Caenorhabditis elegans: one gene and its partner. The protein of the gene in region 1 purifies or fractionates together with the protein of each later gene. This does not show direct contact. Each region holds a gene or a part of one and is shown in the gene's direction. Other genes may lie near its edges. The genes, in order: ttr-52 and nrf-5.

The links.
Region 2: the proteins of ttr-52 (region 1) and nrf-5 purify together in Caenorhabditis elegans (affinity purification with western blotting, with the first as the bait; one study listed by BioGRID). This does not show direct contact.

The regions. Positions count from the first base shown.
Region 1 is NC_003281.10:13,402,505-13,406,307, forward strand, and holds ttr-52 (Transthyretin-like protein 52), read left to right. Parts: upstream 1-2,213; 5' UTR 2,214-2,256; coding exon 2,257-2,410; intron 2,411-2,479; coding exon 2,480-2,652; intron 2,653-3,060; coding exon 3,061-3,141; 3' UTR 3,142-3,279; downstream 3,280-3,803. Other genes in the region: srlf-10 (SXP/RAL-2 family protein Ani s 5-like cation-binding domain-containing protein), read left to right, coding at 1-171, 216-401, 446-532; mig-18 (Abnormal cell migration protein 18), read left to right, coding at 799-948, 1,039-1,354, 1,538-1,615, 1,660-1,802.
Region 2 is NC_003283.11:13,826,027-13,831,423, forward strand, and holds nrf-5 (Nose resistant to fluoxetine protein 5), read left to right. Parts: upstream 1-2,240; 5' UTR 2,241-2,242; coding exon 2,243-2,381; intron 2,382-2,787; coding exon 2,788-3,089; intron 3,090-3,135; coding exon 3,136-3,228; intron 3,229-3,276; coding exon 3,277-3,612; intron 3,613-3,804; coding exon 3,805-3,992; intron 3,993-4,038; coding exon 4,039-4,131; intron 4,132-4,173; coding exon 4,174-4,303; intron 4,304-4,349; coding exon 4,350-4,424; intron 4,425-4,499; coding exon 4,500-4,799; 3' UTR 4,800-4,881; downstream 4,882-5,397. UniProt on the Caenorhabditis elegans protein: Plays a role in the uptake of a range of molecules including phosphatidylserine, lipids and xenobiotic compounds from the intestine to surrounding tissues. Possesses lipid transfer activity. Mediates transport of lipids from intestine to reproductive tract.

The DNA.
Region 1 (3,803 bases):
TTACTGGATTTGTCTCTTCTTGGAGATGGACTCACACAACAAATTATTGAACTTGTTAAAAAGATTCCAGGTAGTGCTCTCCCTAGAGTACAAGAAATTCTCTCAAATGCGGATAATCTTGGAGTTGATGAAGTTATATCCAAACTTAACGGTCTTGTACCTGGTCTTGGAGTGAGTTATTCTTCACTTTGATTTATATTTAACTATGTATTCAGGATGAGCTTAACAATCTTATTTCAACAATCTTCACCCTTATCAAACAGTTGCTCAATGAAGTTGCCGATATTCTTCAAAGTCTTCCAGATATTTTAGGAAAATTGTCTAAAATCGTGGATGACAAAAATCTAACATCTATTGAGAAGAACAATGCTATCAATCAATTGAAAGGAACAAATAAAATTGTATGTCTGAATTTTATTTCGTTAGTACATTCAAAATATTACAGGAACTCAATACAATTATCTTCATTATCACTCAACTCCTCAACGGAGGGGCACTTCCAGAACTTCCACCAACTCCAATTAATGTTTAATACTCACTTTTCTTTCTTGCCATGTATATTGTATAAATAATTATTTTGTAAATAAATATATCGAACATTCATCAATTTTAAATAACTTTTCAATATTAATCAACATAATAGTTTTCCAAGTAATTAAACACTGATTTATACTTGATATCATCACTTGTCACGTTTCTCCCCTCGAGCCCTTCAGTCATGTCCTCTTTACACATTTTCTTTAACCTGGGTCACTATTCCATCGTTCTTCACTTTGCTCCACACCACTTCTCATTCCAATGACCTTTACTCTGCGTCTCTTGGTTTTGTGTACTGTCTATTCATATGTTATCTCACAATGTGATGATAATGGAGTCATTTATACAAATGGAGACAAGTGGATCCGAAATAATCATTTTTTGGTCACTTGTCGAGATGGAAATATTCAGGTTAATTTAATAAGTATTGGTTATATTTTTGGATTAGAATTTTAGTGAACCAAAATGTTTCGATGTGTATTTTAATTTATAAAACTTCAGACTCTAAAATGTGTAACCGACAGTGGTCATTTACTAGAAGTCGGCTCCAAAAGCTATGTGGAAAATGGATATGAATACATGTGTGCACGTGAAGTTACGGATAATCTGAACACAAACACTTGCCCCACATTCGCCGATTTTTCCGATGATATTTTCAAGGATAGATTCGCAATTTGTTGTATTTCAAGACGATTTAAAGGATGTGTTGATGCAAATGGAGATATTGTCAAGAGTGGATTCTTTGTGATTGGAAACAAAAGTTTGAAGTATTGCAGGATTCAGGCAAATCAATTACAGGCAAGGATTGAGCCGAAAGGCAAGTTTTTTTTCGATTTATTTTCTAACTCTTATCGTATTCCAACTTAACTCTTATGGGATTTTGTTGGAGTATTGAAAAGTTTTTTTTAGAACGGAACAAACAAAATTGTAAGTTTTTTCTAGCAAGTTTTTTTCTAAAAAACCGACAAAGCAAGTGCTAAATCAAAAGTTACATTTTCAGGTTGCTTCAACGGAACAGAGAAAGACGATGTAAATGATGAAGAATTGCACATTAAAAAATATGCAGTTTGGCGCGAAGGTATTATTTGTTTTTTTATCAAGATTTGTTTAAAATACATTTAGGTGACATTGAGTATCGTTGTGGAGATGATGGAGTTCATATTCAAAGATGCTTTCCGCCTGAACTCAAGAAAAAGGCTATTTGGGCTGGAACGGCTTGGATTCAAGAAGACGGACAAGTGAAGACGTGCGGAAAAATAAATTAAACTTTATTGTTTCAATTAAAAATGTTTTGGAATAATATGATAATGATCTGTCAGTAATTTACGATTTATCAGGTCGGCAGATCGACATTATTTTTTCTTTAAAAAAAGTTTGACCTTTGATAATTATAGCTAAAAAAATAAATAGTAGTTGACATTTATAGATCTTCAGAGCTCAAATTTGTAATTGAAAAATGACCTAGTCATGTACATACAAGTGAGATGTGAAACCATTAGATCCAAATATCCACATTAAATTAACGGTAACACATAAATATCTACTCCACAACTGAGAAGAATGCACTTGAGTGTTTGCTGACACGATGACACCAATGAGCAAATAAATATGAACATGATCGATAAGATAGGAGTCCATGATGTTCCCCCAGGGGAGTCTCTTCAACCCCCACGCATTCCTTATACTCCAATATTCTCCAACAAAAGACTTTCAAAACATATGTCGAGATTTTTGATTTACTTCCTGCCTTTTTTCATTTATTCAGGGAACGTTTTATCAAAAACTAGTTGTCTTATGGCAACTGGAGTCTTAAAATGCCCAACAGATCCTGAAGCTGTTAAAAAAGTGCATATCGATTTGTGGGATGAAGATTGTAAGTACTTTGTAATATTAATTTTTACTATCAAATTTGTTTAATCTTGAAAAATTAAAACATTTCCAGCATTACCTCTAGAATCGGATGACTTGATGGGTCGAACATGGAGCGACCGTAACGGGAATTTCCAAGTGACTGGTTGTGCAAGTGACTTTGGTCCAATTAATACACCTGATCCATATTTATATATTCAACACAATTGCCCACATCGTGATAGTAATGCTACAAATCCTATACAGGTATATCTGAAGGTTCTGGAGAATGCAAGTTTTTAAAAACTAGCAAATTTTCGGCAATTTTATTTTTTGATTTTGAATTTTTTGGAAATTCTGAAAAAATAACAAATTTTTTATACCAAGAACTATGAAAAATATCAGTGTAAGTGCAATTAAATAACATGGAAAAAACATGGAAACCGACTAAAAAAATTGAAAAATACAATCCTGTAAAATTTTTTTTCAGTTTTTTAAAGAATGAATATTTGGAGATCAAAAGTAGGATTGAAAAATAAAATTTAATATCTACTTTGCCAATAGATATTTTTATAGGCATAAGGCAGGCAGGCTCATGTTTATATGCCTTATGAAAGGTTTCTTATAGATCAGAAAGCCAAACTTTTTTGCTGAAACTTTGCTCACAAATTTCAGATTGACGTAATACCCCTGTTCCTACCATCAATTGTCCGTCTTGGTAATGTTTATCTAGATCGATACCTTGAAGACTACTAAAGAACTCAACTGCAAATAAAATGATTGCCGTAAAGTCAATGTTTGCATAAAACTGTTCATGATTTCTGTCTCGATATACTTCCGACCTCCTTTTCATCTATGTCTCTCAAATCTGGTATAATAAAAGTCAAATATTCTCTTCATTTTCTTTTTTTTCCGCCTCCCACTCTCCACAGTTTTGACAGTAGTAACAGCGCGGAAGATATATGTACGCGGCACACACCACGCGGAATGGGTAACCGGTTCCAATGAGCTTTTGCACATTGATGCTCCCTCTGCGTGAAATACTAGCTTCTACCATGAAGGAGGCGCGACCTTTGGGAGAGAAAGGCAGCTTACGAGTTGAAGCTCATTCCAGCATCAACGGAGCAACACCCGGAGCATTATAGGTTTGTAATTTACCGGATTTTGAATTTTTCCAACTTTTTGATTTGAGATTTTCCAAACTAAAAGTCCCAATTTGTTCAACTTTTTTTTCAATTTCTGCAAATGAGCTTCTATGATTTAATCGATTTTATTGTAGTTTAGACATTTTTTCAATTTAATTTTCCCAATTAGAAACAGTGAGGATTTTTGATGTGCCATTTGAAACATCTTCTGAAATTGGTAACCCGTAAAATTGGTAACTCGAAGACATTGGCTGAAACTCCAAAAAAAACCTA
Region 2 (5,397 bases), on another chromosome or scaffold:
AAGATTTCGAAGTTTTGTATACAAATGTGGTGGTGTGTCTTCCGAAATGATGCCTTGGCTACAGAGAACTGCCTTGAAGTGCTCAAAAATTGTTGAAATGATTTTTTGAGGGCTTCTGACTGTTCAGCGATTTGCTTCATTGCCGAAAATCTTAAAATAAGATTTCTGATTTCAATTCCATTCAAGTTTGGAGTAAGACACTGATAGTCAATCTGAAAGCGCCCAGTCGCTTGAAGATGAACATCAATATTTTTTATGGATAGAATATCAAGAAAGTGTTCAGTCAAATTTCTCAGTGTCATTTCTCTGGAGACCGTTGGTTCCGGAAAAGTCTTGTGATATCCATTTCCATCGAAGTCCAACAATGTCACTGTTAGTTTTTGTAGCGCATTCAGATTGAAGTCGATAAAATCTTAATGCATTTCTCTCCGTAAAATCGTTACATGAATAACGAAATGACCGAAATTAATGAAAAGCGCAAAAAAGTTTCTGCCAGTTCTAAGTTTGAAACGGTGTGTTTTTATCATTAAACCTTTAATGATGTTCTTGGTCTTCCTGCTGATGAACGAGTACGAGATCCTGCAAAATAATACCACATGTTGAACATAATGGATTGCAAAGAATATTTGTAATATTAATTTATTTGTTAGGAAATACCAGAGCAAATATTTCGAGAGATATATGTTTCAAAAACTGCGGAATTTAATACCAAACTAGTTCCGAACCGCATTTGTAATTTTATAGTTTGTATTTTTTCATTAGACTTGTGGGATTATATATCGGTTGTCATAAGTTTGATTACAACTATTTAATAACAAAATATAGAAAAATATTTTGAACATTTCTTGTCAGTTGACAGTTTTTGATAAAACCTAAAACAACTGAGATATAGACTGTAAAAGTTAACCATAAAATGCATAAATAAACTTTTCAGACGGAAGAAAAACTCACCAACACTTCATATCCATATGTAGAAGTACCTTGATTCCACAATTTTTTGGCAGTTTTCCTAAAGGAAACGTTGAGACGATAGGATTCATTCTGAAAAAAAAACGTATAACTGATCATACAATACTGATGCACCATTGGCTCGCGAAGCAAAAAAAGACGCTGAAAAGGTAATTATTTTTCTTTCAACTTGCTCAATGCTTTGGAGAAATTATGAACCTTATAATAAAGTTTGATTAAATGTTGTTTAAATTTCGTTTTAATAAAACATTTTTTGGCACCTACACCCGGAGAAATCAACTTAGGCTGAAGCTAACCCATATAGTTTTTATTTTACAAGATCACAGACTCAAGATAAATTTAGTGCTAAACTCCCCAACAAAACTGTAAAACAAACAAAATAAACTGGACTAATAAAGCATATGATAATGTAAAATCAAAAAAAAGGAAATTGTGTAGTTGACAAAATTTTACCAATGAATGGTTTCTCTAGATTAATGCAAACTGCAATAAACAACAATACGGACTAAATGAAAAATTGCAATAGCATATCGACCGACGTCGTTTACATTCTGCCAATAGTCTCTGCAACAGGTCTCTTTTGTGCTCTCTGGTTGATGACGTCGATTCAATGCCCCATTGTAGCGCGCGCACATCTGTCTTTAGTAGGGTACGATTTATTTCTCTTATAGACAACATCTTTCAATCCATTAAGGTACTCACAATGGAAATATGCCCACTAGGAAATGATGAGTAAAAAAACAGAATATTTTGAAAGGTAGGATAAATCACACACTTCGTGAATTGTTGAGCAAAATTGGATTTTTTTTAAATGGAGCTGGTGCGAACTTTAGTTCAGTGACATTTCAGAGAACAGGATTACATTTAAAAAATACCCAGGTTTCGGTGAAATTTCTGAAACATGGCTACGGGGAGACTTTGACATAAAGATACAGTTTTTAGAAAAACTCTGGATGCAAAAATCTAACTTTGGCTTTTTTATTATTTCGTTTTTATAAGATGAGTCCTCATTCGCCAATATCAGTCTTCCCACAATCAAACCTCAACAAATCGATGTCACTTTACACTGCTCATCCACCGCCAGAAGGGTCACGCTTCAAGTCTGATTAATCATAAAAATACATCCGACAGCTGGTCTGAACTCTCTCAACAATCTATGATATTTCGTCTTGTGAACGAGGAGCACTTTGATTTAAAGAAACGTCCCAATTCGTTTTTTTTCTTGATTCACGAGAGCTTGATATTCAATTTTCCTGATTTTTATTTTGCAGAAATGTCGCGGAATTTTCACATATTTTTCCTGCTTGTTTCAATAATTCAAGTAGGAAATTCTGCTGACAGTTCGGAAATTACACATAAACCAGCAGGAATCTACGTTCGATTAAATCAAAAAGCAGTGGATTATGTCGCAGGTAAATTTATTTGTGATTGGTAAAAACTTTAAAAATCCTAATCTGAGTTGCATGGCAAACAAAGGAAGTTTTGAGAAGTTTGAAGCTTACATGTATATTGTTTGTCGCAGTTTTTTCTAATCAACTATCAATATACATATGTATGTTTAGATTTATAAAATCAACAATTGTTGAAAATTCCAAAAATGCCTGCCAAAAAGTTTTAGTTTCCGTGCACGTTAATTTATGCTTTTCTTACTTTGTAGAAGTATTCGGATATGAATCATTTGAGATCTTTTGAGTTAGATTTTCGATTCAGTTTTGTAAATTTTAAAAATATGAATTTTGGCTATTAAAATTTGAAAATGTGCTTGACCTTAAGGAAAATATAACCTTAATTGCCTTCAATCTATAAATGTCAATTCAGATTTGGCATCCGATGCTCTCCCAGCAATTCTCAATAACTTGAGCCCTCCCGATATTGTGACTGATATGGCTAAAATCACAAAGCTTCATATATCAAACGTTGCAAAGCCGAACCTCAGCGCAAAATTCATTGATGGAAAAGGTGTTGCCTACAATATATCATTGGCTTCCTTCCGTGCAAGTGCTTATGCTGAGATCAGTGTATTTGTGTGGTCATATGAAGGAGATTTCACTGCAGAGCTCCGCGAACTGTCTATCGAATCGGAACTTCATTTTGATTATAATGGAACTACTACTGTTAATGTGAGCTATCATGGATTCTTTGAATTTTTAAATTAAAATGTTTCAGGCTTCCGTTTGCAACGTAACTCATTCCGAACTTTCACTGGTGTTTCCACCTGGATCAAGTTTGTCAGCACTTCAATCGGAAATTAAAGGACAGGTAATCGAAACTTTTTTAAAATTTGGAAACAATCTGTTAATTTTTCAGATTGTCTCTGCTCTCCGTGATGCTGTCTGCACAACCGCTGTTGAAGCTCTCACATTCGTGATGGCACAGAAACCAATTCCACCTGAGAGCCCAAACTATCAGAAGCCAGAAGCAGGAGATCCAAATGGTTTCAGTGTCGCCGAGTTAGGAGCATCATTGTGCCAAGTTGACACAGTTAATGGATTTGAAGATTCGGAGCAAGAAGAGGGAAATGTGGAGACAACGGTTGCTCCAACACCGGATGATGATAACTCAACGTTGACAACCGAGGAAACTCAAAAATCTTATTGGGGAGTTGATTTGAGCGTTAATCATCCACCAACATTTACAGATGAGGTTAGTCACTAGCATGGCTATCACAAAAATTGTCGTCCAAAAGAAAAATTTGTTTTTTTGTTTAGTTTTGAGCTGAAATGTCCCACATTTTGTCACATCTGATGACGTCGGCACTCTTTCGAATCCGAATAAAACGCTCAACCTTATCTGCAGAGTTTATAATTAAGTGTCTCATAAACCTTTAAATTTCAGGATATGATTATTGGCCTTGATGGAGGAATTCTCTTCAACGGCTGGAAGGCCGACTCAGCTCAGCAGCTTCAAATTTTGAACAAGACCCGGCTTGATAAGAAAATGGTTGGAATTCTTCTCTCCGAGTACATCCCCAATACACTGTTTCATCATATTTACATGTATGACTTGGGAAATTTCAAACATAGGTAAGTTGCTCATGATGAGCCCAAATGTATGTTGAAAATTATTCAGATACACCCCAAGTTCACTTCCAAAAATACTGCAAAAACTTTCAAAGGCGGTGTGCTCAAAATGCTACGTGGAAGTTTCCGCTAATCTTACTGAGTAAGTGTCTGCTTGTAATTTCTAACAAACTGAAAGTTTCAGACAACCGATTCTCCAAATCGATGCTCATCTTGGAGCACGAGTTCAATTGTCTGGAAATGTCTCAATCATGTTCCATGGACGAGAACAACTCCATGATGTTCTTCATGCTAACACAAAGTTGCACGTCACGGTAGGCTACAATTAATGAACAGCTACGAAAATCTGAAAAATTACAGCTGAAGCCAACTGTCCGGCATTCGCGTATTTTTGGAGATGTTTCTCTGACTAATGTGGATGTCAACGTTTTTGATGTAAGTTGTATTCAAGAAAAACTAATTCTAAAGAATTTTTCCTGTATAAATCTGAAAGTCGAACAAAAATTTCAGCTTGGACTTGGCGGACCACTCGCTGCTCCAATCGAAAAGCTCTTCTCATTTGTGGTCCCACGTGTACTCTGGCCTCAAGTCAAAAAGCGTCTGCGCTTTGCGATGAACCGTCGTGGAGTCAAACTGCCAATATTCTGCGGAGTCGAACTAGAGCATACCGAATTGGACTTCGTTGATCATGCTGTACTCCTCAACACTGACTTCTCATTTGATTTGCCACTATTCTTGGCGAAGTTCAAAAAATATTTGGATGCGAAGAGCAAGATAAATCCAAACTTGCCGAAATACGTGATTATCTAATATTTTGAAAAGTCTGTTTTAATTTTTGAAAACGAAGTAATAGTCTGAAATATTGTTGGAGCATGGGAATAAAGTTTTTATACTGTTAACGTGTATTGGTTAATGGAAAAAATAAGCCAACATTTTAGATTGAACAACTTATTTCCTCTATTGTTATTACACCGCATTTTTAAACTTTGACAGTTCATATCTCTTGTGTCGTTTGTATTATTCAAAAGTTGCCAAGTATAAAAATCTTTTCCATTTATTTTTCTATCGATTTTTTGTTGATTATTTATTGAAATTCTTCAAATGGACTGAGATCTAACCTTTTCAAACAAAGTAAAGAAGTGGAATATTATTTGAGGACACACGGCAATGTATTTCTCTTTTTTTTTCCTTGAAATTCATGAATCTTCAATTTGACACAAGGTAATATAGTTTTTTGTGATGTACATATTAGATTGAATATCATTTTTACATATTTTCTAGAATAGTCAGAAAAATAATAGCTGCCAGGAAATTGGAAACCCCTCACGTTCCAAGTGGTTAATGTCAGTATGTTTTGTTCCTTTTTACATATATGTACTACCATCTGTGTTTTAAAACATCTTTGTTA